4 linked regions of the Struthio camelus genome follow. Each later gene encodes a partner of the first gene's protein in a complex. Links are inferred from orthologs where the notes say so. Each region holds a gene or a part of one and is shown in the gene's direction. Other genes may lie near its edges.

Evidence for each region.
Region 2: the proteins of ARPC1B (region 1) and ARPC4 are in contact, whole or in part, in a cryo-EM structure (PDB 6YW6), measured with the Homo sapiens proteins. The link is inferred for Struthio camelus from reciprocal best matches to the Homo sapiens genes ARPC1B and ARPC4. Residues at the interface, in NP_005711.1 of Homo sapiens: Glu9, Pro10, Asn28, Gln54, Thr72, Arg74, Asn96, Arg97, Ala98, Arg100, Ser143, Thr144, Cys162, Trp204, His206, Leu245, Pro246, His263, Ala319, Gly320, Lys326, Asn327, Ser328, Met350; in NP_005709.1 of Homo sapiens: Gln17, Cys21, Leu22, Glu23, Asn24, Phe25, Ser26, Ser27, Gln28, Val29, Glu31, Arg32, Glu45, Leu46, Leu48, Glu124, Gln125, Tyr127, Lys128, His129.
Region 3: ARPC1B (region 1) and ARPC3 share a complex: the UniProt entries of both Homo sapiens proteins name them as parts of the arp2/3 complex. The link is inferred for Struthio camelus from reciprocal best matches to the Homo sapiens genes ARPC1B and ARPC3.
Region 4: ARPC1B (region 1) and ACTR2 share a complex: the UniProt entries of both Homo sapiens proteins name them as parts of the arp2/3 complex. The link is inferred for Struthio camelus from reciprocal best matches to the Homo sapiens genes ARPC1B and ACTR2.

The regions. Positions count from the first base shown.
Region 1 is NC_090956.1:4,575,429-4,583,050, reverse strand, and holds the start of ARPC1B (actin-related protein 2/3 complex subunit 1B), read left to right. Parts: upstream 1-4,613; 5' UTR 4,614-4,741; intron 4,742-5,302; exon of another isoform or gene 5,303-5,597; intron 5,598-7,622. Other genes in the region: ARPC1A (actin-related protein 2/3 complex subunit 1A), read left to right, coding at 792-830. UniProt on the Homo sapiens protein: Component of the Arp2/3 complex, a multiprotein complex that mediates actin polymerization upon stimulation by nucleation-promoting factor (NPF).
Region 2 is NC_090955.1:9,933,303-9,940,349, forward strand, and holds ARPC4 (actin-related protein 2/3 complex subunit 4), read left to right. Parts: upstream 1-4,035; 5' UTR 4,036-4,327; coding exon 4,328-4,330; intron 4,331-4,801; coding exon 4,802-4,920; intron 4,921-5,599; coding exon 5,600-5,711; intron 5,712-5,793; coding exon 5,794-5,889; intron 5,890-6,032; coding exon 6,033-6,203; intron 6,204-6,759; coding exon 6,760-6,765; 3' UTR 6,766-7,030; downstream 7,031-7,047. Other genes in the region: TADA3 (transcriptional adapter 3), read right to left, coding at 3-188, 512-621, 712-815, 1,118-1,259, 2,663-2,768, 2,948-3,198, 3,376-3,582. UniProt on the Homo sapiens protein: Actin-binding component of the Arp2/3 complex, a multiprotein complex that mediates actin polymerization upon stimulation by nucleation-promoting factor (NPF).
Region 3 is NC_090958.1:17,142,112-17,150,003, forward strand, and holds the start of ARPC3 (actin-related protein 2/3 complex subunit 3), read left to right. Parts: upstream 1-4,878; 5' UTR 4,879-5,127; coding exon 5,128-5,424; intron 5,425-6,709; coding exon 6,710-6,809; intron 6,810-7,892. Other genes in the region: GPN3 (GPN-loop GTPase 3), read left to right, coding at 156-280, 1,040-1,155, 1,487-1,583, 1,991-2,119, 2,625-2,687. UniProt on the Homo sapiens protein: Component of the Arp2/3 complex, a multiprotein complex that mediates actin polymerization upon stimulation by nucleation-promoting factor (NPF).
Region 4 is NC_090944.1:141,298,167-141,306,000, forward strand, and holds the start of ACTR2 (actin-related protein 2), read left to right. Parts: upstream 1-4,834; 5' UTR 4,835-4,922; coding exon 4,923-4,970; intron 4,971-5,290; exon of another isoform or gene 5,291-5,399; intron 5,400-7,834. UniProt on the Homo sapiens protein: ATP-binding component of the Arp2/3 complex, a multiprotein complex that mediates actin polymerization upon stimulation by nucleation-promoting factor (NPF).

The DNA.
Region 1 (7,622 bases):
TGCTGCAGCGCAGCCCTCACGCAAATTATATTAGCACTAGGAAATCCCGACTGTCATATTCAAGACCATTAACAAACTCTGTAAGGAAGACAGATCTAAGATTTAGCATAAATGCAGATATACTTTGCTTAGCAGATGGTCATAATCCAGACTTAATTTTTTAATTGGATCACTTATTTCCTGTAGGAATCCTGCTAATTCTTTCCTTTTCTGAGTTCTACCTTAGCCACAGTCAGTCTGGAATGATCATTGGTGCAACAAGACCCACTGTCTCTTCTTGCTCCCGTCCCTTTGGACTCACTGTCTTTCTGAAGAACAGGGTCATGCACTCTATTCATTTATTGAAATAGTAAGAATTTACCTAAAACAATTGGGAAATACAGTAAGCACTATTTTGAAAATCCTAACTGGATTCAAGCAAGCACCCAAGTGCTTGCTTTGTTGGGACTGGCCAACAGAGGTCTCTGCTGACCTGCCCAAGCTTTTGCTTACAGCTGTACACAGGCTTTTGGGAAAAGAGTTTATATTCCAGTAATGCCTGGAAGCTCAGTAGGGACTGGGGCCAAGTAAGAAATTGATATTATGCAGTTTAAGGGAGGAAGGGGGGAAATCATTGGCATATATATGTAAGAGTTTGGAATGAATAATCATAGTGGTCTCTGGCCCTTGGATACATGTTTAATCTCCACTGCCCTGTTTGTTTTGCTCCTCTTTTAATGTCAGCCTTCACACAGAATTATTTAACGCAGGATACTGTAGCAGTTTGTGATTAAAATTTTCTCTCTTTCAAGACCTTAGAGTCCTCTATTCAAGGTCTACGAATCATGTAAAGATGGATTTCCGTGATCTAGCAGGACAAACTGCTTGACAGAACGCAGCTCCCACATCTGCACAAACTCGAAAAGGGAGGAGGAAGGTGGAATATTTGGAAACACTGAGAAAATACAGCTTGGCAGATTTTCTTTGAATCTAAATTTGGTGAATTGTGTTGGTTTCAAAATCAGCTGTGATTGTTTTTTTTTTTTTTTGGTTGGTTGTTTCATTCCATTCTTTACCAAAGCTGCTCCTTAAGTAGTTTATTGCAGGAAGTTATGAATCACTAACTTAAAAGGGGAATTTTATGTAAATTGTCTGCTAGAAATAATAATAATAATAAAAAAGAAAAACAGATTCTTTTCTGTTTTGATTCTCATTAACTGCTTGAAAAAGGAATATTATGGGAAGAAAATCAGGTAAAGAAGTTGAAAAACGCTGAATTGATTTTTCTGTCCTCAAAAGGGGAAGAGTTCATCTTAACTGGAAGTTTTTTAAAAGTTCACAAATGAAGATGAACTAGCTAGAGTTCTTTCAGGGGAATTACTCCCTTGGAGAATGTGGTAATTTTAGGTGATGTATGATTTTGTCCTAGTGACTCTTAATTCTGTCTGCCTGGCATTAAATCCAGTAATAATAGGAAATTAATCCAAATGTCTTTTCCATTCAGTTTGGCGGGTCATAGTTCTCTGAAGGCAGATGACTAGAATTATTTGTAGTTAGCTTTTATGATTTGTACAAAGACTTCTCACTGTACAGTGCCTAGGGTACAGAATGGAAGAGTGCCTGCAGAAAGTGAGGCAAGAATCTGCTGAGCCAAAAAACTTAGGAGGATAAATTAGAAACAAATCACTTCTTAAGCCCATGTGGCCACACTGGCCTGCATGTCATGTTAGAGCTGAGTGCTCTGCCTATAAAAATCTGTTTAGAATGACCAGGAAGAAATTAACTACATCTACTGGTATGAACAGCACACGCTGGCTTCTGTACAGACACTTTGTCTCCAGGTGACTATCTTTTGAAGTTTAGCTCTGAGCCTTGGTAACTGACCAAGGCACTTACACATAACTTCTTTTATTCACGTGGTCTCATTAAGATAACTGGGTATTGCTGCCTTGAGGCTTGATCCCGGCTGTGCACTGGAGGGGATTATCTGGCTCAGGGTATTGCCTCACAAAGCTTGAGACTTTTTCATTTCATTTCTGAAAATGCAGAAGTGTCTTTAAAAAAACGATGACTAAATTTACCACTTCCTCTGGAACCACAACGTTTCTTCATGCATTGCTTGTGTCTCAGCTCCGAATGATTGAAAAGGGAGGGTGGAAGACAAGCCCACAGAGTGGACAGCTTCTGTTGTATTTCTGTAAGTGAAAGGTGTCCGTCACGGAGACAGATCATTTTCAGGTGAAATGTTTGTTGAATGCAAAGAATTGGCTGTTTTTCCGTTCCTTCTGGTTTTATTTTGCTCCCACCTTTCTGGCAGTCAAGCATGGTTTTGCAATTTCCCCTCCCTTCTAAACATAAAATAATGACTGTTTAGCCCCTTACTCATCTTCTAGTCTAGTGATCTGCTGTTTGATTCCTCTTGTGATGGGGATGGGTTTATCAGCTAGGATACAATGCCACGCTAGTGTAGTTAAATGTCTTCTGGATCAAAGTGACTCTGTCAGCCAGCTTGAATGATGGGCAGAGGAGCTTGAATTTGTCTTTGTCCGCGTGGGCATCCTACTAGATGCTTATGTCTCACAGAAAGTAATGATTTGGTTTCTGAAGTCACCTTGAAAGTGTGGTGTTTTATTTCCAAAAATCTATTGAAAAAGCTGTATTCTAAAATTTATGGCCCAAATAATACAGAGGTATGGAAAAATTCATCTAATGAGAGAGTGGAGAAAATGGGTCTTTAAGTTTTTTGCCTTTTTCTGCATGAAAGATCTAGAGAAGGTAAAATGAGCATTTTTGCTCCAAAAAGCCAATGAACTGACACTTGATAACACTGCCCCAGCTTACTGTCTCAGAGAGAAATGCTTATGCTAGAAGTTTGAGTTGGAAACAAATTGGAGATATTTACACTGGAAAAGAACTGAGCAAGGGGAATATACACAATCATCTCTGGGCATGATTCAACTTAAAATTGCCCGACGTGAAGAGGATGGGGAAGAGCTCGGCTCCTTGTGCACCACCTGACATTCACAGATGGCAGGTTTATGGATTTGCAGGCCGTTTATCTGATCTGAAGGTCTTTCTGCTGCCATCCTTCCTCCAGTTTCTGTAAGCCATTTTGAAGGTAGGTGCTTTGTTTTGCCTGTACCATTTCCTTAATCTCCTCCCCCATCTTTAACACTGTCAGAGGGCGTTCTTTCTGCCCAACGTGGGTGAGAATTCACTAGCAGATTTCAGCTAGTTGCACCACTAAGCTTGCTAACGTGTGCTTGTTGTATGTGATTGGGTTAATGGTGCCCTTGAAAGCAATATTCACAATAAAGCTCATGGTTGCCATCTTAATTACAGGATAGCTGCTGGCTGCATATGCTCTATGTTACGTGCCAGTTAACAGACTGTTAGGGGCAAGAAATGGGGCTGCACAAGCAGGGACGCCAGAGACTGTTCACAGGGGCCTGCCTAAAAAAGCTCACCATGAAAAGAAGCTGCAGAACTGCTGCTACTTTTTTTTTTTTTGTCTCCCCAGCTCTAAAAAGTGCCCCAGCAAAAAAACATGCTCACGTCTCCAGTATGCGTGCAGGGGGGTAGTTCCTCTACTGCCTCTCTGAAAGGCCTTGAGCTTTACAAGGCGTTCTGCAATGGATGCAGGAGGATCTCTCCGCTTAAGGAAACTGAGGCAAAAGAGGTGAAATGGTTTGGCCAAAACTTAAGTCAGGTCATTATCTTGCTTTGGATAAATGCTGTCTGCTCTCAAATGGTCCCCTGCGGTGGCTGCTCGCTGTGCTCATTAGCACATGTTCAGAGAACAGCTGCAGCAGGAGCAGCCTCAAGACCAGAAGCAATGAGGAAATGCAATAGCAGATAAGAAACCGCCTTGCAGGCAGTGCTGGGGGGTGATACTCTTCACTCCCTTCACTTAATAAGGTAGGGGGATTCCCACCGCAGAAGTTAAACTGACCTATCGTTTGTTTGCGTCCCTGCCTGGAAGCAGCGCCAAGATCTGATGCGAAGCGACAGGGAGATGAGTGGTCCTTAGGGCTGTGTCCTCTCATCCTGCACAGGCATTAAGTTGCTGGTCTCTGTGCAGAGCTTGGCAGTGATGTTACAGCAGACAGTGATGGGATACAGGGAAAGTCTGAACCGTCTTGCTCAAGAGCAGAGGCAGAGCAGCTGCAAGAGGAAGAAAGAAAATGTGCAGGCAGAAGTGAAAACTTCAATCTGCTGCAGCCCTCAGCTGCATCTGAGCTGTGGTGGGAGCCCTTTTGCTGCGTTTGGGTAGCCGTGATGCTGGGAGAGGCCAGATGCTGCTCTGGGCAAGCTGGTGCCAGAGGATGGGGCGTTTTGCCACTCCTGAGACAGACTTCACCTGCTGTGGAGATTCACTCCTGGCCAGAGCTGCAAAGACCTACAACCTTCTGGGGACATCTCCAGCCCCAGGGTGCCAGGGCAGCCCTGACCTGGGCGAGCCAGTCCCATGGGTGCTGCGTAGGATCGTGGCAGCGTGTGTGAAGGGATAGCTGGACTTCAGGAGCAAAAAGAGAGATGAGTTACCCCCTCAATGCTGCACCCCAGAGCCTTTCTCCATGGCTGACCTGTAACCTGGGAATTAATTCCAGAGCTTAACAAATATGGGCTTGTTGTATCCAAATCCTGCAGCTGGGAAACCCCATCAGGGCCTGTCCTCCTTGTGCAAGAACCTGATGCTGAGCTCAGATACCACTGTGGCGGTTCAGCGATGGGACGGTCCCCTCTGAAGCTACCCTCCAAGGTAAGGGGCGAGGGCATCCCTCTGCGCGGGACTCTTGCAGCAGGGCGATGATGAACGTGTCTGGGCGTCCCCCATCCTCCTTTCTCCTTCCTGGCGCTTAAAGCTAATAAGGCGTTGAGCTACTGGCGAGGAAAGGGATAAAAATCAGGTCGCTCTGAAGCGTGAGGCAAAAAAACAGAGGGGTGCATCATATGGGTTGGGTAGTGGAGACGCAGATGGAGCCGGCCTGGGGCCAGCAAAACCCCCCAGGTCCTGCTGGGCTCGGCTGGACGCAGGAACCAGGAACAGCCGTCTCCGAGCGTGGCTGGATCCTGCTGAGCCGTGAGTTTCTGGCGCTGGGAGACGATGCCGATGCGCATCCCACCTCGGGTGGGCTCCGACCTCCGCCTGCGGAGCTGGCGCTGGCAGGCGGTCCAGGCGCTTCCCAGGGCGTCCTTCCCCCCGAAGCGCCGAGGACGGCAGAGCCCAGAGAGCCTCGCGTGGGGGCTGGACCGGGCCGGGGGGACAACCAGGCCTTGGCAGCCACCGGCATGGTGGGGGGGGGGGAGGTCAAACCGGAGGGAGGCGATGGGGCTCGTTCGCCTGCAGCGTCCTGCCCCGCTGGTGCAACGCGGGGGAGGTTGCAGGGCTGCCGGCATCCCGGGGCTCGCACACACGCAGGGGCAGGGCGGCCGCCGGAGCGGCTCTGCACTCCCCCAACGCCCACGTAAGGAAGTGGTTGCATTTCTCGGAGAGGAAAAGGGAAGTCGGGCTGCCTCGGAGAGCCAGCCAGCCACTTCTGCCTTTCGTTCGCCGCCGGCCGGGCTGCAGTTCGTGTCGACTGCCCAGAGTCCATGAACTAGCCCCGCGCTGCCAGGTAAGTCCCCGGGGGCTGTGGCTCCCGCGCCCGGGCGAGGAGCGGCGTCGGTCCGGCCCCGGGACGGGCCGCCTCCCCGGCAGAAAACTCACGATTTAAAAAAAAAAACCCAAAAAACTTTGCTTGACCGGGCGAGGCAAACCCCCCCCCCCCCCCCAGCCGAAGCCTGCGGGACGGGGCTGCTTCGGGGTCGACTTCCCACGCGAGCGGCGCCGGCTCAGGCGGCGCCCGGGGGATTTGGTGTCGTCGCCGCGTTTCGGACGGTTCTTTCCAGCGCTGTCAGCGAGTTTGAGCTTTCTCCTCTTGCAAGAGGCCCGGGAGGGCCGCCGCTGCGGAAAGCGCCCCGCGGCGGGGATCCCCGCGGGCGGGCGGCCGTCCCTCCCTCCCTCCCGCGGCGGGCTGGCCTCTGCCTTCCCCGGCATCGGCCTCACGCGAGGAAGAGGAAGGTCAGCGCCTCCGGGGCGCCCTTCGTCCGCCCGGACCCGCGTGGCTCGGGAGGGCGAGCATCTCGCGGGTGGGCGCAGCGGCAGGCCGGGCAGCAGCGCTCCGGCGCCGCCAAGCCGCCCTGGGACGACGGGGCGGCGGCGGCCCTCTGCCCAACTCCGGCCCAAGGGAGAGTGCGGGCTCCCCCCGCCCCGTCGCAAAAGCCCTCGGCTCGCGCCAAGGTTTTATTATCGCCTCCGAGGATGTTTCCGAATTGCTCGGGGCCTTGAGGCTGCCGGAGGCGGGCGGGGGGTAGATAACCGGGCTGCATCGGGCCCCGCTCCCGCCCCGTCCGGCCCTCCTCAGCCAGCCGGGCCGCTCAAACGCCCTTTCCCTCCCTCGGGAGGCGGCGAGCGCGGCCGTGCCGGAGCCAGGGCCCCCGGCCCCTTTCCCTGCGCAGAGGGGCTGCAAGGCGCTCTGCCCCGGCGGCCGCTTCCCTGCTCCTTGCCGCCAGCACGGCGCTATCTCCCGCCTCGGGAGGGAATTAATGACGTTATGAAACCAGAAGCCGCGGAAACGCGGTGTAAACGGCCGCAGGGAGGGAGCGTTGCTCAAACCGAAGCCCTCGCGCGGCTTGCTGAGCGTTGTTTCCGCGGCGAGGGGCGGGCGCTGTCCGCTCCCCGGCTCCGCTGCACCGCAGCCGCTCCCCTCCCGTCCCATCCCTCCTCCTTCCTGGAGCCCTTTCAGCCCGTTACTGCTTTAACACGGTTTTCTGCTCCAGAGCTTTCGTGGCGCTAGCAGCAAGCGCCTCTTCGCCGCTGGTTTTGTTGGCGGGGCAGCCAGCGGCTCGGCCTCGCAGCCGGGGAGCTGGTTGCGTTGCTCCCCCCGGGCCGGTGGGCTGGGGGGAGCCGCCTTGCTGCCCTCTGCCCGGCCGCTTCCCTCCGGCGCCGGGCGAGCTTTGGAGTTTGCAGGAGCAAGGGAACCGAGCCGGCTCTTAGAGGCGCTAAAAAAGATGCTTGGGAATATCGGTGTTTCTAAGGATGGTCCCGACGGGCCGGCGTGGCTCCCGGTCGGCGTCCCTGGAGAGCCGGGGTGGGCGTCTGGACGCGAGGCCGGCTGCAGGCTGCATGACGCTAGCGCGCAGCAGGATTTTCTGCTGCCTGTTGGGTTTTTTTATTATTATTATTCTTTTTTTCCTGCACGCGAAATGCAGGTGACGGAGCGCCGCCGTTTTTCTTTTCGCCGGCCCGGGAGAACAGAAAGCGGCGAGGGGAGACTTTTTTCCTTTCCCCGTAATGTTGCGAGCTGCCAAAGAAAACGGGCAACATCCTGTTAGTTCCCAAAATACCCGAGTGCCAAAGGCTGTGCCTGATCCCCGGGCGCCCCGTCCCTGCGGGGCTTCGGCCGAGCGGCTGCGCTCGGGGCCCCGAAACCGCCTGGCCCCTGCTCGAGCAGCCGGACGGGGCAGGAGGGGGGAACGGAAAGGGGCCGAGGCCCCGCTGGCAGCCGCAGCGCCGAGCTCAGCTAGCGGGAGGTATTAGTCACCAGCGCGCCGGGGCCGAGCAGCGGGAAGCGGCTCCCGCGCCTGGAAACGCTCGGGGG
Region 2 (7,047 bases), on another chromosome or scaffold:
ACCGCAGCAGCTCGTGCTTCTTGGTGCGGTTGTGCGCGCTGAGCGCCTTGAGCTCGGCCTGCCTCTTGCGCAGCTCGGCCAGGACCTCATCCTCGGAGTCCTCGGCAGGACGGTCTTCCGACTCCAGCAGGCCCTGGGCAACGAGCTCCTCCTTGATCCGCCCCTCCAGCGATTTGGTGTGGGGGACGCTGCGAAGGGCAGAGAGCGGGTGCTATGCGCGCCACAGCCAGCAGATGTGGCAGCATGACTGCGCACGGACTCGCCTTCTCCCCCAAGGCGCAGGGAGGACATAGATGCTCTGTGGGCCAGGACCTGGGCAGGGCTGTAGCACAACGGGAGCTGCCTGTGCTCGAGGCTGTGCTACCTTTTGCCCCAACCTACTCTGCTGCAGTTACTCGAGGGACAGGTTTCTTTTTGTTTCCTCCCAACGCTTGCAGAAGACATGGAACCCCAGGCATGTTCAGACATCCAGCAGGCAAAGCAGAGCTTCGGGGCCACCTCAGCTGCTCACCTGAAGGGCTTGTTCTGGCTGCGGGGGGAAGTGCCAGCGCCGTCGGCTCCCGAGTCCTTGCTAGCAATTTCAGGAATCGGGGAGTCCTCGACGGGGGAGATGATGTTCTCCTGGCAACCAGAGGGCAAGAGAAGGGTCAGTTTACCGAGCTGCAGTGACACTGCCCGACAGAGCCACAACGCAATCCCGAGCCCTCTCACCTCCACAAGGGCCTGCAGGAGACGCTGCGTCAAGGGCCCGAAGGGGCACCCGTCCTCAGGCTGCTCGTGCTGGGCCTCCGACTTCTTCAGCAGGGCATCAACATCTGGGAGGAAGCAGGGAAAACAGTGAGCAGCAGGGGAGAGGCCAACGCCTCAGCGGGACTCCGGTGCAAGGTGAACTGTTCTCTCCTCTGCAGGGACAGCTTTACTCCATTCTGTCTCTGCCACCTGAGCCTCCCTGCAGCTGCGCTCGAGTTGTGCCCTCCCCAGGGCAGCCACCGGAAAGGGAGGAACCCCCAGGGCAGCAGGGCCAGCGTCCCAGGGGCTTGGCTGTGCTCCGTGTAGGTGCCTTGCAGCCCCCTCCAGGCCGTTCACAGAGGGCAGACGCAGGCAGGGATGGAGGCACCTTTAGTGTCCAGCTCAGTCAGCGGTCCCAGGATGCCTTTCTTCTTGTCAGCAGCAGCTGCTGCCCGGGCTCCGTCCTTCTGCTCCTCCAGCAGGTCCTCCTGGGCCCAGCGCTGGGAGTAATGCTTCCCCAGAGGCGGGATCTGCAACCACAGGACAAGCGAGAGCAGCGGTCAGCACAGCGTCCCAGGGCCCTCGTCCGCGCCAGAGCTCAGGCACGAGGAGACGGGCCCTGCCGTGCCACGGAGCAGGCCCTACATCCAAGGACCCAGCCCCGCACACTTCACCTGGCTCGCAGCCAGGCCAGTACCCGGCTGCCCTGGGGCTCTACAACCCTATCCCCAGGGCTGCTCTCCCGCTTTCCCAAGGCCTGGGCCCTCCCCTCCTCTCCCACAGCTCCTGCGCAGAGCAGATGGCAGAATTCGGCACCTCCAGACGCGGCCCTGGAGGCGGCGCAGCTGCCCGTGAGCTCCAGGGCCGAGCTCCTCGGCAGCCGCCCTGCCCCTTTGGCTGGCCCGGCGCCGTTCGGCTTGGCGGTGCCACCGGCCGGCGCAGACCCCAGCGAGTCTTTAAGCTACACAAAGCGGCAACCACAAGCTGCACTCTCACAGGAAGAGCAACCACAACGTTATGAGTGAAATCTAAAACCGTGCTACGGGAAGAGCGTTTTCCTGATCGTGACTCAGCCATCCCCACTGTACAAGAGGCACGGGCCCGTCACACACGCAGCGCTGGCAGGACACGACCAGATCAGGGAGCTGGTACCGCGAGCACCAGCCCTGGTCACAGCGTCTTTGATCAGGCAGGGAGCCCTCACCCAGGGCTCTTCTGTAGCCGAGACCAGAGATGTCATCTCCACGTGTGGAAACTGTGGCTATCCAACAGCACCACACGTGTAACGCAGCAGAGGTGAGAGCAGCCAAGTCTCTCACCCCATCCTGGCTGCTACTTCTCATCTCCACAACTGCCCCCGTTCCCCAGTTCTTCACCCGCTTACAAGCGGGTGACAACAAAAACAACCGTCTGCTGCCGGTCCTCTTCCCTAGAGCGTGTAAAATCCTTCTGCTCGGCTCCCTAGAACAAACAGAGCCCTGCAGCTGGCACAAGGGAAAGGGGGCTTGGGGTCTCTCAGACAAGGGTCCAGAGAGGTCCCTTGTGCTCAAAGTTGGATGTAACAACAGGAACTCTGCATGTAAGAACACCACGAGTCTCACAGGCCGGGACCACGCTGCAGCAGGAACAGACAGACTACAGCTGGGCACTGCCTCCCAAGGACAGGAAAGCGCACAGCAACAACCTCAGCACTGCCCCAGAACGGGGGCAGCAAGTTGCTACCTCGTGGCCGCAGCCAAGACACTCTCTCACGGGAGCCAGAAGAGAAAAGTGTGCAGATAAATTCCTGCTTTTGCAGGAAAAAACTAGTATCATCCCCACAGGGCGAGCGTTCACTGTAAGGCACAAGACTGCATTGACAGGAGACTGGCCCAGGATTAGAAAACAGACAGGAAGAGAGGCTACAAGACTGGGTGGGCTTTAGATCTTTCACCTTGTAATGCTCAGCCTCGTCCTCAGGCGGCTTGAGCAGCTCTTCCAGGACTCTGACTTCCTCGTTGGTGAGGTCGGCGCAGTACGGCTCCACCGAGGCCCAGAACCTGCGAGGACGGAGCAAACGGACAGTAAGGGGGGGCTGCAGAGGCACAGCGTGGGCCGCGGCAAAGGCCGACTCACACCCCCCCTTCCCTCCAGGGCACCTCTTCCCTCGGGTCCAAGCCAGCCCTCTCGCCAGGAGCTGCAAGGAAGGAAACGGATGATCCAAATGTTCCCCATGCACCTGTTTGGAGCATCATTTTTGGGAATCCGGGGAACATCAATGGGATCATCTGGGAACTCGTATTCCTGGATCTTGGGCTGCAGGTTCTTGGATTTGGGCCGACCAGGGCCAGGCCCTGTCCCGTGACCCCCTTTGCCCTCCAGCTTCTGCTTCTTGGGCTTCCCATGTTTGACAGAAGTGCCCACATCATGCTCCTTGCTCAGCTTCAGGAACCGCCGGTCACCCTTCTTGTCTTGCCAGTCTGTCAGGATCTGGAAGAGAGCAACACCATGTCATGCCACACAGCGCAGCCTGGGGACGGGCCCGCTGCCCACACCAACGGCAGCCCAACAGGCCGCCGCAGCCCCTCGGCGTGAACGAACAGGCGAGGGAGCGGGCGGCGGGCCCCAGCGGCCCTCGCCGCGCGGGGCAGGCGGCGGCGCCCGCACCTGCGTCTCGGCCTCCAGGACGCGGAGGCGGCGGCTGGCAGAGGAGAGCAGCGTCTCCAGCTCCAGCTGCAGCGTGTCCAGCTCCTCGATGCCGATGCCGTCGTCCTCGGAGCGGGCCAGCACGGCCGTGTAGCGCGGGCACACCTTCACGTGGTCCACCGACTTGAAGTCGTGGAACTGCAGCGGGCAGTCCTTCAGCTCGCTCATGGCGGCGGGCACCGGGGGGAGCACACGGGTGTGTTCGGGGGAACGGGGCGGGGGGCAGAAGGATCGGGGCACTGAGGGGAAGCGGGGGGGGGGTGGAGAGAACCGGGGTGCTGAGGGGAACCGGCGGAGGGGGGGGGTTGGGACCGGGGCGCTGAGGGGGCGGGGCCGGGACGCAGGGAAGCCCCGGGGGGGGGGTCGGGGAGGTCCCGGGGGCGCCGGGGCCGCCCGGAAGGCGCCGGCGGGGCAGCGCGTGCCGCGGCCGGGCGGGGGGGCGGCGGCGCCGCGGGGCGGGGGCGGCCGGGAGGGCCGCGGGGGGCCGGGCCTAGGCCGCTCGTCCCTTCCGGCCTCCGTAGGCCAACGCCGCGCCCGCCTTGCCCCGCCCCACACTTCCCATTGGCTGAGCCGCGCCCAGCACCCGTCGCCTATTGGCCCGGCCCACGCTCTTTTTGCCTTCCCTAATATGGATGCAGTGACGGGACTATACCAACGCGGCGGGCGGGCGGGGGGGGATGAGCGGGCCGCCGCCATCGCGCACCGCCATCGCGAGCCGCCGTGCCCGCCGCCGTCACTTTCCTCTGCGCGGTGAGGCGAGGCCAGCTCGGTGCGGCCCGCGCCCTTCGGCGCGCGGCGGGAGCCTCCCCCGACCCCCCCTCCCGCTGCAGTGGGAGCTCCCGGCCATCCCGGAAGAGAGGAGCCGCCGGGGACAGCTACTTCCGCCTGCCGGGACCGGACCGGAGCCGCCACCATGGTAGGGGGGGGGGTGGCGGGGGCTGTGTGGCTGGGCCCGGGGGCGGATGGAGGGACCTGGCGGGGGGGTTGGCGGGGCCTAGGCCGGCAGCGGACCGGGGGGCGTTGATGGGGGTGGACTGGGGGCGGGCGGGGGGGCCGGGGGTGAGGGGTCCTGAGGGGGGCGGCTGGGGCGAGCTGGGGGTTTAGGGGGGCGGCAGGCCCGAGTCGGGGGTGGGGGGGTCCTGAGGGGGGCGGCTGGGGCGAGCTGGGGGTTTGGGGGGGGGGCGGAAGGCCCCAGCCTGGGGTGGGGTGGGGGGGCTGAGGAGGGCAGCTGGGGCGGGCTGGGGTTTTAGGCGGGTGGGGGGGGCCTGAGAAGGATGACTGGGGGTTTGGGGGGGCGGCAGTCCCGAGCTGGGGGTGGGGGGGCCCGAGCCGGGGTGGGGGGCAGTGGGCCGCACCGTTTGCCAGCTCTGACGCCGTGTCCCCGCAGACCGCCACGCTGCGCCCGTACCTGAACGCGGTGCGCGCCACGCTGCAGGCCGCCCTGTGCCTGGAGAACTTCTCCTCGCAGGTCGTGGAGCGCCACAACAAGCCCGAGGTGGAAGTCAGGTACGGCCAGGGGGCGGCTGTGCCTGCGGGGCCCCCGCTCCGCTCGGGCCCTCCGCCATCCTTTCGTTGGAGGCAGCTGCCCCCGGGCTGCTGCTCTGCCTCTGGCTGGTTTCCGGGGCCAGCGTGTCCCTGTGGAGCTGTTGTGCTGCGACGCTGCCAGCTCAGCTTTAGCAGCACGGGGAAAACGGTCTCTGCTCTGGTTTTAGTGCACTGAGTCCAGCACTGTTCCTGAGCCTAGCTGAGTCCTGGTTTTGGACACTGGGAACTGAGTCCTGGTTTTGGACACTGGGAACTGAGTCCTGGTTTTGGACACTGGGATGGGTTAATTCTTGTTGGGGTTTTTACACCAAAAAACAATCCCATCTAGTCACTGCTGCCTTTGCTTAGCATGTCTGGGCCTGACGCGAGGGGACTGTGCAGGCTGGAGAGGCCTCTGCACTCAGCAGCTGCCACCAGGCAGCGATGGGGCTGGTCAGCCCGGGAGCTGAGAAACTGCAAAGAGGAGGGAGGATCTGCCTTCATGATGCGTGTGCCTGGGAGGTGGAAAGCATCGTGTTGGAGCACAAAACAAACTCCCAAGTGTCCGTATTGGCTGTGATCCCTGCAGCTCCCTGCTTGCATGCCCTGTGTGGCCAGCAAGTGCTCGTTAATCAGTGCTGAGCTTCTCTTGCATCCACAGAAGCAGCAAAGAGCTGCTGTTGCAGCCAGTGATCATCAGCAGGAACGAGAAGGAAAAGGTCCTTATAGAGGGATCCATTAACTCTGTGCGAGTCAGCATTGCAGTGAAACAGGTGAGCTGGTGGGAGGGGAGGGAACAGGCTGGTGGCTTGTGTGTTGCTTGGAGGAAGCCTCACTTCTGCTTTCTCTCTGCAGGCTGATGAGATCGAGAAGATCTTGTGCCATAAATTCATGCGTTTTATGATGATGAGGGCTGAGAACTTCTTCATCCTGCGCAGGAAGCCTGTGGAGGTGAGGTGACCCGTGGAGCTGCAGAGCAGCATCCTGCTGTGCTTTTGGCACTGCTGGGGAGAGGGGGGTCTCCGGAGCCGAAAGAGGACGTGTGCTCACGGGGTTGGTGCGCTAACTGTTTCTGCCACTTCTCTCTTCTCCAGGGCTACGACATCAGCTTTTTGATCACAAACTTCCACACAGAGCAGATGTACAAGCACAAGCTCGTGGACTTTGTGATCCATTTCATGGAGGAGATCGACAAGGAGATCAGTGAGATGAAGCTGTCTGTCAACGCCAGGGCTCGCATCGTGGCAGAGGAGTTCCTCAAGAACGTGAGGCTCTAAAGCGGGAGGCGATGGTTCCCGTGTCTCTGGACGAGGGTGCAGCTCCGGCCTGCCGTGACCCTCGCGCGCGGAAGCCTGGCCCCGGGCTGTCCCCGTCTGTGGCGCAGGTGGCGGCAGCCCCCTGGGAAGGTGCCCTTTGGGGCAGGGGAATCACGTGGGGAGCGGGTGGGGGTACCTGGAAGAGCTACTGCCCGCTTTGCTCCCTCCTCAGTGAGAGAGGAGCGCAGCGTGACGCGCCAGCTTTGCAAGGCTGCCAGCGGGCTGGCGCTTTGCTAGGGCGCGAGCGGCAGCTGCGGGACGCGGACTGCTGAGACGAGCTGCGCGGTCCCCAGGGCGAGGGGAGGCAGGGAAGTGAGCGCAGAGCTCCACAATCCAAGCAGTGCCGAACGGCAGTTATCGTTCGTCTCCGTCCCTGCTGATCAGCCAGACGTGGCTTGAGGCCGCCTCGGCGCAGCGCGGATGGCACGCTGGGCGCGGGAGGGGAGGGCGAGCGCGCGAGGAGCCGGCAGTCAGCGGCCCTGTGCCTTCCCTTCTTGCCTTGCAGTTCTGAACCGTGGTGCTGAGCTCCCTGGCTTCTCCGGCGTCCCCGCGGGGCCGGCCGCAGCCCGGCCTCGCCGCCTGCGGAAGAGAGGAGAAGCCGCCAGATGCTACGGAGCCGTCCGCGGGGACGGGCGAGAGGACCGGGTGTCCTGAAGCGAACCGTGCTCGTGTCAGACCGTGCCGACTCCCTGCTCTTCGTTCCTCCTTTGGTTTTTTCCCTCCCCTCCCTTCCCCCTTTGTTTTTCTTTTTTTTAACAATTCCTCGTTTGCTGTAACTCGGCTGCTCGCTTCC
Region 3 (7,892 bases), on another chromosome or scaffold:
TCAGAGTTGTCTGAAAAGAAAGATCATGCTTTTTGTAACAGGTTTTATTCATTTGAAGAATAATGCCCACACTTATATAATTGATAACTGTGAACTAACATATGCTTTTTTTATGTGTTAGCTTTACATTTCTGCATAGTAATATTCTGTCCTAGGTCAGATTGAACTCTACACACATTTACCAGTGATGAAACAGCTGGTGGAGCAGCTTCAGCAGTGGGAATTCCGTGTCTGTGGAGTTTTTCTTGTTGATTCTCAATTTATGGTGGAATCTTTTAAGGTATCCGTTTGAAATATATTGTAAAAATTCATATTAGTAGAGAACAAGAAATCTGAGTAATTTTAAGGAGCTAGTTCTGTTTAGTCTGAAGAAGAGAATGCTAATTGGGGGCGGGTGGGATCTGATGGCTGTTGTCACCTGCCTAGTGAGCCGTTATGGAGAAGAAGATCGAGCCATATCCTTCTTGAAGATGCGCAGCAAAAGGATGAGAGGCAATAGACACAAGTGGCAGGAAGGGAAATTCCAGTTGGATAGGAGGAAAAAAATCTGCACTGTGAGAGTGGTCAGACTGGAACAGGGGCCCACAGAGATTGTGTAATGTATGTTCCTGGAGTTAATTCAAAACTCACCTGCATGAGATCCTAAGCAACCCGATCTGACCTTGCAGTTGGCCCTGATATGGATCAGATGATGTCTAAACGTGCCTTCCAAACCAAATTGTTCTGTGATTCTATAAAACTTTCTCAGATCTGGAAAGAGAGCATGCCCCTTTCCCAGTCTAGCAATGAGAATCCTGAGAAGGGCTTTGAGTTTTGTTAGATGTCCTTCCCAGTGGCAGATCCAGATTTGAAACTCTGGAAATAGATGGCAAATGGGAACTTTAGCCTCTCCCTTTTCCAACAGAGATAATGACTCCTCACTTGGCCTTGTGTCCATGTTTCATATATTCAGTAGCTAGTTTTGGTTTGTGGTCGTGTCCTGCATGTTTGTGTTGTGTTTGTCTGTACTTAAGTATGTCATTTTTCATATTCCTTTAAGTTTATCTCTGGAATTCTGGCAGCACTGAGTGCAATGATATCTTTAGAGATTCCACAGATCAACATCATGACCAAAATGGATTTGCTGAGCAAGAAAGCTAAGAAGGAAATAGAGAAGTAAGTTCCCCAAATATTTGTTGTATAGCCTAACATCTGGTGATAAACGTCGCTCAAAATTCAGTCTACTGTTTCCCACAATTAAAATCTACTCTTTTGGAATGGGAAAAGATGCAGTTGTTTTATATTGAACACAGTCTTTACATGTCTAGGATAGGATGCTTACAACTTAGTCACAGAGTCAAAAGGCTAGCTCTATGCATATACATATTTATCTTTTTCTCTAAATAATTATTTTCTGTTAAATCATTATCTAAAAGCACAATGACTTACTTGTTCTTTAGCAAAGGATTCTTTTGATGTCAATGAAGACTTTTTTTTTTTCTCCCAGGTACTTAGATCCAGATATGTATTCCATGATTGAAGACTCTACAAATATATTAAAAAGCAAAATGTTTAAGAAACTGACTAAATCTATATGTGGTTTGGTAGGTGTATTGCTTTTCGTTCTAACTGATATTCTTAAATTCAGTCCTGTATTTATAAACAACACTATATGGCTACTGCCTTCTTTGCTGTTATAGATATTCTGTATACTATAAAAAAAATTCCCTAAAACTGTATATTTACATAACAGACTTGATAACAGCACCAGGCTTTACAAGATTAGCAACTTTGGAGAACAGGATTATCTAATGTATAGGACTTAGGACTGACGGGCAGATGTTTTCATTGGGGAATTGCCTCTGGTTTGCAGTGTGGTTTTAAATAGTATGTTGGGAGTCCAGGCAAGGAAGATGTAGTTTGGTTTAAAGAAGTAGCTTAGAGTGCTATGAGTGTAAAAGAACTAACTTGCTGCACGCTCTTACTAATGTCTTTTAAACGTTTTCTCTAGATTGATGACTATGGTATGGTTCGATTTTTACCGTTTGATCGCTCTGACGAGGAAAGTATGAACATAGTTCTGCAGCACATAGACTTTACCATTCAGTATGGAGAAGATCTTGAATTTAAAGAACCAAAGGTAAGGTCCTTCTGATGATACGATGAAAAACTTAAAAGCTTCCATAATACAAGTCATAATATAAATGTATTTTGACTTGTTTAAAAAATGTATAGAGCCTGTGTGTTGTATGTAAACTATAGATTAGGAATAAGTTATGTCATGTACAATACAATGACACCATGACTCGTGTCTTAAAACGAGTTCCAGGCCCTATCTAGTTTGATTATTCAGATCATAAATCCTAAGGAACAAATTCAATACTTTATTTATTTATTTATTTTCAGTTCAGTTTTGTACTTGTGGAATATGCAAAATCCCTGGGTCTAGATTTTGACCCATACAGTTTGGATAGCTCTAGAAACAGATTGCTTTCCAGAAAGTTTTGCCACTCGTTTTATGGAATCATATTAGACATTTTCCTTTTTTTTTTTTTTATAACTAAAATGCCAGAGGACAGATAAATTATTACAGCTCCTTGGGGGGAAACAGTTAAGTTTTACTTTTTTTGTTTTCTCTCTGGCAGGAATATGAAGAAGATAAATCTGCTCTTGTTGATGAATATTTTCAAGATCATGTGGATGAGTAAAGCACATACATTCAAAAACAAGGGGAAATATCGTGGTTGTTAAATATTTAAAGTATCATGTTTGTGTAGTTTGTTTTTTATCTGTAAGATAACTAAAATTTCTAATGAAAAGTGATCCTGTATGACCTCATAATTATTTTAATAAATAATTTCATTCTTATGTCTGTGTGCTATAAAATATGTACGTATGTATTACTGCTGCTGTATGCAAGTTCCCCACATATAGTTGTCTCATTTAAGTATAGGAACGTTTGGGAAAAGTCAGTCATTTGCAGAAGAGGCACAGTCAAATACAAATAATTTACAATAAATATTTATCTCTAGTACGGGGTAGTTTGTTCTATTATTAGATGAGCGAAAAACTTGTTTTAAAGGGTGAGTAATGTACTTCATTAACTGAATCTGCGGTGGGGAAAGAGATAACTGGCAGCTACAAAAGGAAAACTGATCAGTAGCTGGACTCTTGACCTTCTTGAAGAAGATGAGTATTTTACGTTCACTTTGGTGGAGCCCATATTTTAAGCCTCCTTTTTTAGGCTGTTTTTGTACAACTCGCATGTGGCTTTAAGCGGTTTTTACATTGATAACATCTTAAACAGTGAAACATTTAAAATAAATAAAATCAGCTTAAATAGAAATCAGTGCTGTTCTTGTACAGTTGCTGCAGAAAGTGTGTTACTGAATGAAGAATTCAGTAACTAATAAGGTAAGTAGCTGCTTTTTTAGCTCTGAATAGAGAACTTGTACACCTACTATGACCTATATAGTAGAATGTGCGTTGGTTTCACAGAGAAGCAACATTTAAGCACTTTATCTTGGAAGAACATATTTACTGAAGTAACTAAGTACAAGTAAAAATAATCCTAAGAGCTGTCGTCCCATGCCATCTGATCAAATGCAAAGGTACCTCAGTCCTGCATGTGCACCCCCCCCCATGGGTATTTGTGTGCTCAGCCTTGCCAGTTTTATGAATTCTAGAACAAATCTCATAATATTCAGCATTCTTAAAACCTTGCCTCCCAGAGCCAGACAATTATGAGAGCTGAGACCTCAGTTTTGTGAGAGTTATCACGGTCACCAGAAAGAGCTGAAAAATTTAGCTCTTCAAGGCTTAAAAGCATGACGCAAAACCCCGGAGTATATGTATGTATATAAATAATTATTGTGGAGGTTAACTTCATTATGTGGGGAGTCTTTTTATGCCTGCCTGTAGCTAATCACATCACTGGGTGCTTTATGCCTGATCTATGCCTTGCATTCAGCAACAGATAGCCAGTGACTGATGCAAGTTTGCCAGTGCAAACCTGAATGCAGACATGGACAGTTTTGAGTTGTACTGGCTGAACTAAACCATGCAAATACTGGGGAAGCTTTGGCGGCTTAGCTAACTTCCAAGCTTGCACATCCTCGGGGATGGCAAGCCCGGGGAGGGCTACCAAGATGATTAGGGGACTGGAGCAGCTCACCTATGAAGAAAGACTGCGAGAGCTGGGCCTGTTCAGCCTGGAGAAGAGAAGACTGAGAGGCGATCTGATCAACGTGTATAAGTATCTGAAGGGGGAGTGTCAAGAGGACGAGGCCAGTCTCTTCTCCGTGGTGCCCAGCAACAGGACAAGAGGCAACGGGCAGAAACTGAACCACAGGAAGTTCCATCTGAACCTGAGAAAAAACTTCTTCACTGGGAGGGTGACAGAGCATTGGAACAGGTTGCCCAGAGAGGTAGTGGAGTCTCCTTCCCTGGAGATATTCAAAACCCGTCTGGACGTGATCCTGGGCAATATGCTCTAGAGGTCCCTGCTTGAGCAGGGGGGTTGGACTAGATGATCTCCAGAGGTCCCTTCCAACCTAAACGATTTTGTGATTCTGTGATCCTTGGGATGAGTCATGCTTGTGGAGCGTTGAAGGAGAAACCTAACTCCTACAGTTGGATTACTTTGACTCAGTTTCCGCATCTCCCCGTTTTTTCTCCCTGACTCATGCAATGATGTTATGCTCAGTCATTTGCCTGGGGACAAATGAGGGTCCCTGGGTCACAGGGGAGGTTATGGTTAGGATTTTAACAGAGGAGTGGAGAGTTCAGTGAGGCTCTGAAAACAGTATATCCTTCCAGACTGCCCACCCAACACAGTAGCCCCAATTGTTTGCTTCCTTATACCCAGTGCAACAGCAAGTGCTCACAGACCAGTCTGGCAGGCTACACTTTGCAAGTCAGGTCACAGCAAGAGATGCACAGGAGTGCTGCACATCAAACACTCAACGGAGAACTGGCTGCAAGCAAAGGGCCCCAATCTGGTGCACCGCGCTCTCTGTGCTCTTGTCACGCTCTGATCCTCGCTGGGGAAAGAAGCTTGCCTCTGTCAGCAAGGAAGCGTGATCTCACAGCTGCTTGAAAGAAGACAGCACAGAGGGATTGAGAGGGCTTTACTTGCAGCGCCAGCCAATGCAAAGGGAGAGGGAGGGGAGAAACATGACTCCAGAGGGCAAGAGCAAACAAATCCCCCAACAGGGTGTGATTTCAAAGCATATTCTCCTGCCTGTCTGTGTTTCTGCAGCGAGCGGTGCAGAAACTCTCTGGGCGGTGCGAGTTGCAGGCCTCCGCTCTGGCTTCCCTTCCTTGCACCGCCTCCGCTGCCTCATTTCCTGCAGCGCAGGCAGAAGAGGAAGGTTTCCTGCAAGCTTCTCAGTGCTCCCCTCCTGCCCGGCCCTGCCAAATTGCATCCTGCCCTTCGAGATGCCGGTGAGGGGGATCCGCTGCACTCACACCGGAGTGCTGTGTGCTTGGCCTGCCCCAGCTGCTGGGAGAGAGGGCAGGAGGGCTTGGGGGAGAGCGGGCAGGCCTGAGAGGGCGGATGCTGCCCACTGCTGGGGGTCACAGGGCTGGGGTAGGGGGAAACAGGCTTTGCTGTTGGGGTGTGACTATGGGCAGCTGCGTTCAGGAGAGATGGGCTATAGCTGCCGGGAGCCTCGCTGGGAAAGGGCAGTTGCAGTTTATGGGAGGCTGCTGCGAGGCTAGTATGCTCCTCTTCCTCTTCCTCCTGTGAAGGATCCTGCCTGCGTCTCTGGGTGCAGCTAGCTGTGTTTCTGCAGTAAGGAGGGTGGCAGTCCCTCCCAGCTACACCTCTGGGCACTCCCAGCTAGCTCCACTGAGGAAGATGGCATTAAAGCTGTGCTTTGCTATGGTTTAGTTCATACCATCTTCCTCATGTTGAAATAAACTGCTTTCCTGTTAGGTGCTGCCTACCCTGTTGCTGCCCCTCAATTGCACTTCCCTGCTTCCCAGACCCCCTGCAAAATGACTGCTGCGATGAGATGAAGGCTTTCTAGTGCCCTGGAACTGCACTGTGTAAATGTCTGGAAGGCGCCTTCAATTAAACTTGTTATTTTTTAAAAATCTGTTTCCCAGGAATAATCTTGTCATTCACACAAGGGTCTTCTTTGTTTTGTTCTGTTCTTTCACTGACAAATACCAGTTTTAAAGTGCATGAGCCGGTCTGTTTTGGTACTTTGTGGATATACAATAAGTCTGGATTTGTTTATTCCTATCTACTATTATTAGCTAGACATGGAATAAAATATAACCTTTTTTTAAAGGACCAAGTAATTAGAAAAAAAATTAATTTTCCCTCATACACTTCTATAATGGTAAGCCCCATAACTAAGGCAGGAGAACAGGGCTGTTACCACCTCAGAGCTGTGCCAAGGGGGCTTAGAGAGCCTGAAGGTGAAGCAAATGCATATAGATCTACCATACCAGTTTTTTATCATATCTTCCACCACTGCTACCATAAACGGTGTCTGTGATGATTCTTTTATGGCCTTCACAATGTTGTTGAGAGCTAGGCCTAATGTGAAAACAGCAATCGTTTGTGCAAGGTAAGATTGCTAGAAGCATCACTAACTAAACTCTGAATCCTATTTGATGGACACCCAGGAGACACTTCAGAACCGCTTATGTTGCCACGAGGACATTGAAATGCCTATTTTCAGTAACATTCATAACTAGCCTTCCGCTCTGTCCATAGGCTTACCATTCAACTTTAATGGACTCTGATACCAAGTTAATTGGGAACATGGCACTGTTACCCATCAGAAGCCAGTTCAAAGGCCCAGCACCTCGGGAAAGTAAGTTTACAGTAATCTCTGAACATTTGTTTTCATATTGCTTGTAATCATGTCACAGTTTGTTCATAGCCAGCTCTAGCATTGCTCTGGTATAGTGGGTGTCTCAAGTACATGCTTTTTATCAATGTCCCCGGGCAGATGGGATTGAGAAAATTATGGCCAAGACTTAACCAGGCGTTTTAGATCTTGATTCTCAGAGTGAAGAGAGAAGCCATGGTTTAGAAATGGAGTGCTTTTCAGTTGGTAGAGGAGGAAAAACGCTCTTAAATGGTTAAGTGCTGCAAACCAGGAAAAATAATTACCATACAGCAGTTATCTGGGAAAACTGTGCCCCCTACTCCCAAATTCTCTTACTTTAGAAATAAAAAAAAAAAAAAAAGTACAGTTACTATTTTCATGCTTCCTTCTCGGGTGCTCTACAATCAAGTTTTACTGTGGTTTTCAGTAGGCTTTGAGGAGGACTTGTAACTGATGTGAACCTTCTGACATAAGAGGAAGTAGAGGTTGAGCTAAAGAGAACTAGCACTTTGGGGACTGAGGCTTGAGAGTCACTGCTGCGCTGAAGGATGAGGAGTAAGATAGAGAGCGCTTTAGGGTACGCAACTTCATAAGTTGAAACTTAAGTTCCGAGCATCCGGAGTCCACTGAAGAGTTTTACAGGTAGTCTGAAATGGATTCCGCTTCAGCACTTCAAGTAGCACTTCCCAGGCACATCTCACAGTAGGGTGGTGTTTCAGTTTGAAAAGGGAAACATTTCTGGATGTAGGCAGTCTTATGTTTTAGCAAAAGAAGGTGAAAAGTGCATATGAGCTTGTGTGACTATATATTGTCCCCTGCTTTTTTCAAAGAGGATAATGAAGAAGTTTGGTTGTGGGGGTGTACTTTCTCCAAAAATATTTGTCTGCCCTCAGAAGACTTTTATGCTGTTAAATTACTCGACTGGTAGTAGGAAACAGTGTGGAATTGCTGAATTGTTGCCCTTTGTAAAGTGAGAAGCCATGGGGGGAAGGAGGAGAAGGGAATTAAAACTCCTGCTAAAAGTAGGAAGCGTAAATATTAAGGTCCGAATTCGCCAGTCTTCCA
Region 4 (7,834 bases), on another chromosome or scaffold:
GTGCTTTTAGACTCTCCAGGCTGCCTTGTGATAGAACTAAGAACATTTCTAAGGCTGACCAGATGCAGAAGAGATGTCATCTGTTCCTCCTAGACCCTCCTTCTTCTGCTATACCGAGCAGACGTCTGGGACAGCTGTCCCAATAACTCATTCTTCTCTTTCCGTTCTGAGTCATTCCTGCCTCTGTGCATATGGTTTCTCTATGCCTACACATCAGGATAAGCATAGATCACTTGTTCGGCAAGTTCATAAAAATGTATCCCTCTCAGCAGAAGATAGATGCAGTACTTTACCTGATAAGCTTTCAGCACTCTGCTTAGTCATCATGCTTTTATTATCTGCTATTTCACAGAATTTCACAGAATGGTTGAGGTTGGAAGGGACCTCTGGAGATCATCTAGTCCAACTCCCCTACTGAAGCAGGGACCTCTAGAGCACGTTGCCCAGGATCACGTCCAGGCGGGTTTTGAATATCTCCAGCAAAGGAGACTCCACAACCTCTCTGGGCAACCTGTGCCAGGGCTCTGTCACCCTCACAGTCAAGAAGTTTTTCCTCAGGTTCAGATGGACCTGCCTGTGTTGCAGTTTGTGCCCGTTGCCTCTTGTCCTGTTGCTGGGCACCACGGAGAAGAGACTGGCCTCATCCTCTCAGCACCCCCCCCTTCAGATACTTGTACACATGGATCAGATCCCCTCTGTCTTCTCTTCTCCAGGCTCAACAGGCCCAGCTCTCTCAGCCTTTCTTCAGAGGAGAGATGCTCCAGTCCCCTAATCGTCTTTGTAGCCCTCTACCAGACTCGCTCCAGTACTGGGGAGCCCAGAATCGGACACAGTACTCCAGGTGAGGCCTCCCCAGGGCTGAGCAGAGGGGCAGGATCACCTCCCTCAACCTGCTGGCAACACTCAACACAAAGGATACCATTGGCCTTCTTGGCCACAAGGGCACATTGCTGGCTCATGCTTAACTTGTTGTCCACCAGCACTCCCAGGTCCTTCTCCACAGAGCTGCTTTCCAGCAGGTCAACCCCCAGCCTGTACTGCTGCATGGGGTTATTCCTGCCTAGGTGCAGGACCCTGCACTTGCCTATGTTGAACTTCAGGAGGTTCCTCTCTGCCCAGCTCTCCAGCCTGTCCAGGTCCCTCGGAATGGCAGCACAGTCTTCTGGTGTGTCAGCCACTCCCCCCAGTTTAGTATCGGCAGCAAACTTGCTGAGGGTGCACTCGGTCCCTTCATCCAGGTCATTGATGAATATATTGAACAAGACTGGACCCAGCACTGATCCCTGGGGGACATCGCTAGCTACAGGCCTCCAGCTAGACTGCACCACTGACCACAATCCTCTGAGCTCGGCCATCCAGCCAGTTCTCAATCCACCTCGCTGTCCACTCATCCAACCCACACTTCCTGAGCTTACCCATGAGGATGTGATGGGAGACAGCGTCAAAAGCCTTGCTGAAGTCCAGGCAGACAACAGCCACTGCCCTGCCCTCATCTACCCAGCCAGTCATTCCATCAGAGAAGGCTATCAGATTGGTCAAGCATGATTTCCCTTGGGTGAATCCATGCTGACTACTCCTGATCCCCTTCTTGTCCTCCAGATGCTTAGTGAGGACCTCCAGGATGAGCTGTTCCATCACCTTTCCAGGGAGGGAGGTGAGGCTGACAGGCCTGTAGTTTCCTGGCTCCTTCTTGCCCTTTTTGAAGGCTGGAGTGACAAGGCTATCATGAAGTCCTGCTCTCCCGCAAAAGATACAGCACCATCTCCTATTAGGAAAGCGTGGATAGTTCTCTCCAGTACTTTAAGAGCAACAGAAGAAAACTAGATTATGGAGTATATACCCCAAACTGTTAGACTCCAAAAATATAAAAAAATATTTTTATCTATTATTTTCTGATACGCTTGCATTTTGCTTTACTACCTTCTGAGCAGGTTGCACTAACTGGAATATGCACAGAATGGAATACATGCAGGATATATACAGAGAAGGCAATTCACATGTACACAGTACCCTACGTTTTTTCTCATAAATTCCCTGATTTTTAAGCTTTCCCCTCCAATATATCTTTGCATTGTATGACTGATCTACAAAAGATATACCAGTCCCTGTATATCTTGGAGGTAGTTTAATTAAACCTGCTACTTTGATGCATTAATAAATATATTGTACTTTCAGCATGGTTCAAGCACTTCACAAATACAGATACGTCACAGAATCTCTCTGGCTTTGTGCTGTTCCTCAATGCCCCTAACGCAGAGAACAGATCTCATTCTCCATTGATACAACAGTGGACACACTGGCACGGAGAAGACATTCTCCATTATCCTGCTCATAGTAAAGGGCTCTGACAAATACTGACCACACTACAACTTCTCTCCTTACTCTAAGAAGGTTCCTGCCATGCTCTGCAACCTTAATACTTTTTTTTTTTTTTTTACTTTTGAACATGAAGCAGTATCTCTGTTCAATTTAAGCAGGTAAATAAGCTCAAAAATACAGTTAAGTTCAAAACACATTGTATTTCCTTTCCTGCATTGTATGTGACCTTCGATAAAACACCAAAAATCTTTTAAGGCTATCCAACAACTGACAGCAATAGCTGGTAGCGAGTACAGTGATGGATCTAATGACTATACTGTGCAGTACATAAGTTCCTCCTTAATAGGCCTATTTCCGTTACAGAACTTGCATCCCTTTGATGCGGTCTTACATGCTACGCTAGATGCAGCAAATTAACTACTGATTTTGCAGTGATCGGGCAGACTTAATGTCACTGTCTCTTGAGTGGCTTTAATGACACTGTAAGTTCTGACTGCACTTCTCAAACTAACCCTTTACAATTCAGATTTTTCTTTAATTAATAGCCAGCATCCCCTTAGAAAAGGGATCATATAATAAAAGTGACGGGGGATCTGTGTTATCATAATCAAATTAAAATCTTAAGCATATTTATAGGGACCTAGTGAATATCTAATCTCAGAAAAGTTAGCTAATGCATTTTGAGTTTTTTTTCCTTCAGGCCTCCCAAGTTAAAAATCCAGTTTGCCTCAGAACAGACTGTATTTTGCCATCATTCTACATAAGGAGACATCACTGAAGCCTTCTGCCTGACAAATCAACAGACGATTAGAATACAAACTGCAGCATTTTTCATTCACTGATGGGTCAAGTTCCTTATTAATGGGCATGTGTATGGTATGGCATGGTATCATACCCAGCTTACTGAAACTGAGGCCAGGGCAGCTTGGCAGGTTAAGTGATCTGTCCAGAATTTACAGCAAGTCTAACATCAGAGCAATAAACAGGAGCTAGTTCCCATGTCTGAGCCGTCTAAGCTGAGCTGAACAAGCCGAGTGATTTGAGTTATACAGACTAACTAATGTTTCTGGACCAAGAGCAGGCTTTTAAAGCCATTGCTTTTTGTACCTGGCTTTAACCAACAACGTAAATCCTTCACTTTTATCAGCATCAAAACATCATGCACTGAAGAAAACCTAAAATGAATGTTCAACACACTCGTAGTAGAGTGCAGTTCATACCCAGGTGAGGCTGCTACTGCTCCACAGCAACCAGGAAGTCCTTCCATTACAGCTATATTGGACTGGATTTCTCCATCTTTGTTTGGATAGCCTCCTCGTCCTACTAGATAATGCCATGTCTTCTCATCATTCTCAATATCTGAACATCATTAAAGTAAAAAAAAAAAAAAGTCAAATATTATGCATATTCTGATTTTTAAAAAATTTCTTACTGTTCCCACTAGTCTGTAGACTCCAAAGCAAAAAAAAAAAAAAAAAAAAAAACCACACACACACAGCAACAGCCATTATTTATCTGCAACCTGAACACAGAAATCATTGTGCTGACATAGTTTCTGCTATGTCTAATTAAAACGTGCTGTTGTTCATATAGGATTGACACAGCTAGTGCCACAGAAGTAAAAAATTAGCATACGCCCCTCATCTCTCGAGTCGCCTGGAAGTCCGTAGGGTTTGGGGAAAGGCAAGGAAAATGGCACCAGGCTATCAGAGGCAAACTGAGAGACTGTATTTGCTCTTTCCTCTATTCGGAGCCCATGGAAGAAGGCAAACCGCTTGGGAAGGGCATCCTGTTTGATGGGCTAATGTAAACGCGGGAGAGCAAAAGCTGCTTAAGAGCAGTTAACCGTAAAAATAACGCAGTATCGACGACGAGTGGCTCCGTAAATTTAACAGCGGCGTGATTTAATGTCGTTATATAAAAACGCGGCCTGGCTAACGGATCCCGCGTAAAATAGGAAAGTGGGAAGGACGAGAGCAGGCAGAAAGCGGCTCCGGAGCAGCCGACAGCTCTCCGGGGAGGAAGGGCCTGCCCTGCCCGAGGGCAGCGGGGTGGCTGGGTGCCAGCCGGCTCCTCTCACAGCACGCCGGGGCACTCCGAGGGGCAGACGAAGCCGATCCGCCTGGCCGCGAGGGCCCAGATGACCGAGGGCGGCCCAGAAACCCCCCTCCGCCATTACGGGGCGAGGCGGCCCGGCGGCGCCCGGGGAACGGCTCGGCCCCCGCGTGGCGGAGAAGGGCCGGCTGGAAAGGAGAAGAAAAGGAGCATTATCCGGCTCTTTTCCGGGCCTACCCGGCCGGGTAGGAGGCTGGGGCGAGGGGCGGCGGCGGACGGGCTGGCGGGGCCGCGGGCCGGCGGCTGTGAGGGGGCCGCGGGCCGCCGCCATGGCAACGCGGCGGGGGGGGAAGGGGCGGGCGGTGGCGGCCTGCCGGCGGCTCTGATTGGGCGGGGCCGCGCGGCGGCGGCGCTGATTGGGCGGGGCCGCGCGGTGACGGCTTCCGGCGCGCGCGGCGGGGCGGGGGGCGCGGCGGCGGCGGCGGCGGCGACGGTTGGGGCGGCGGCGGCGGCAGTGACGGTTGGGGTGGCGGTTGCTCGGTGGCGGCATGGACACGCTAGGCAGGAAGGTGGTGGTGTGCGACAACGGCACCGGGGTGAGTCGCTCCGGCCCCGGGACCCGCCCTGCCGCCGCCGCCGCGGGGGGAGAAGCAGGGCGACTCCCCTCCCGGCCCGGCTTCCTGCCGGCACGCCCGGGGCCCGGCAGCGGGCCGCGCCCGGCCTGCGCCGCCCCGGGGCCTCCAGAGCTCGCCGCGGCGGAGCGGGGCCCCTGCGGCCGCCCGTGCACCGGGCGGGGGAGGCTCCCGGGGCCGACGGGATCCGCGCGCCCTCGGCCCTCCGCCCGCGCCGGCCTCCGGGCGCGCAGCGAGCCGCGCAGCGGCGGCGGCGGCGCGCTGAATGAATGGGCCGGGGGAGGTCGGCAGGGGAAGTCGGGCCCTGCGGCGGCTGGCGGCCGGTGTCCTTTGAGCCGGAGCGAGCGAAAAGGGGCATTTGAGTCCTTGCACCCGGGAAGCGGTAGTACCTCGGTATTTACTGCCGTCGGGTCTCTATCTGTGCCCGTCCCCCAGCATCGTGGCAATTTTATTACGCGTATTGTATTCCTATATATGACTTTAGCGGGTTTCCCTTTAGTAAGGAGTACCAAGCAGAAAATACGGTTTTATTTTATTTTTTTTTTATTTTTAATCGGAACGCTCAGTTTATCCGTTTCGCATTTAGGCAGGCAGAGATGCGCCCTCTGTAATGCGAGTTTTTTGGTTTCACGGAAGCATGTCATGCAGCTTGTGGTTAAAAGGCAGCGGGGTCCTTTCATTAATAGCTTTATGACCTGCAAAATTCACCGAATTGGGAGTCGTGGATAAAGAGGGCGCCAAAGCTTTCCTCCTCTTCCTTTCACCTTTCCTGCCCTACGTGAACATGCACGTGCACACTATAAATTTGTTCTTTTGTTAGTGTTATGGAGGCTTTGAGGTGCCTCAACAGGAAGTGACAAAGATACCATTTTAAAGGCATCAGATAAGATGTTATAGGTGAATTTCCGCCTTAGTAATTTTGTTTAGCAATTGAAATTTTTCCCCCCAGAAAAGCAATATTATCAGGGGAGTTAACAAAGCTGACAGGTTGTCAAGAACTCTCGAATGGCAAAAAAAGAAGTATTTTTTAATAAACACTTTGAATAAAGATTAAAATATTTAAAGCTAAAGATTGAATAGTTGAAACAAAGAACGTCACTGTAAGAGGTTCAACACCCTGCCACATGAATTAAGGCATTTCCAGTAAGCATCTGAAATGATTAGAATGATTCAAAAAGCAGAACATCGGATTTGACAGTTCTGAAGTCTTCCTCTTTTTCCTCCTCTAGAAAGATTCTTTTGAGTAAGTGCTGAGGTAGAAAGCCTTTGGGCCTTTTTTGCAATATCATTTACACAAAGGAAAGAAAAAGAGGCGATTTATCGTTTTCCATTTACAAATGGACATGGAGGCAGGGTTCTGTTGGTTGGTTGTTTTTTTTAAGTGTTTAATGCTCATACTGTCACCTTTGTTGGAAATTTATGTAATTTCAGGATTTGATCCTTTAATACAGCCTTTTACGTAGCAATGAATGGCTTTAAAAGGTATAAAAAAGTATAAAAATATTGTTTTAAAATGTTTAACATATAGATAGTGACCATAATGTCATACTGTAGTCGATCTCAGGGATGAAACATGGGACAGAAGCGGTTATTTTTATGCAGTTTTGCAAGCTGTAGTTGGGACACGATTTTTGTGCAGTGAGACATATCTGTGTGTCTTTTTAAATCAAAGAGACATCTGATATATTTTTTTCTCCATGAATTGTACCACCTGGATATAAACAAATACGACAAATACTGTTATACTGCAGTTACAGTGCCTGGAGTAGGGGTCTGTGTCACTTCAACTTCTGTTGTTTTGGGTTGAGTTTTACCTCTAAGCAGAACAATGCATGTATGGCCATCCCCTGGCCCCAGAGATGACTGTGTGCTAGTGCAAAGTATGAAGAAATGGTTGTTGTTAAATCTGTAAACTTAAAATATTCAAATTGAATTGGGGTAAGTACACCAGAAGAAAATTCAGTTCATAAGATCCATACGTCTTTCAGACTCCACCTGTATACTGAGAATATCAAGTCCTGTATTGCCAAACCAGCATTTTTATAGTAAACATTGTTATATGGTAAAGAAGAGCTGCTTTACATTAGAATAGTGTCTGATACACTGTGATATGTCTTACTTAAACCATGACTAAAGTTAAATCTCTTGCCAAGTGCCGGAAATAAAAATGCAGGAATTTTAGACTCAGTTTTAACTTTCGGCTTCTTTTGAAACTTACTGTTCTTGTCATGCTGAAATATGAGTTTTTAATGTATTTGACTGCAATCAGTCTTTGAGGAACAAGTGACCAAGAAGTGTGTTCTTGCAACACACAGTGTAAGAGAGGGAAGCTGGCGATGCCATCTTGGAGCGTTTGAGATGAATGTTCTTACTGGTCTAGGTCAAATGATAAGTTACTTTATGATCTGGATAGTTTTCTAATTATATTTAAAATCTTTTTTTGAGAGTTGCATCAATTAAAAAAATCAAGTAAAGAGTCCTGATAAGAATAATATTATCCATTTTAAGACTTTTCATGTGACATGTTTGTGAGCAGATGTAGAAAGCTTCCTCATTCTTTTCGTTTGAAAGAATACTTATACGTACAAGTTCTTACTGTTTGATGACTCAGTAGGAAGTGAAAGAGTCGGTATAAAACCACAGTGCGATGGAGAAGAAACTATATATGGTAAAACTTCTTACATATGTGGTCTTGTGTACAGGCAAACTAAGTAGCTGTTCTTAAAACATTTTTTGGTGTATAGCAAATATTTGCAAAAATACATGATGTTGAACTCTTGGCTTCCTCAGAAAGATGTACAAATTCATTGAATTATTAGTGTTAAAAG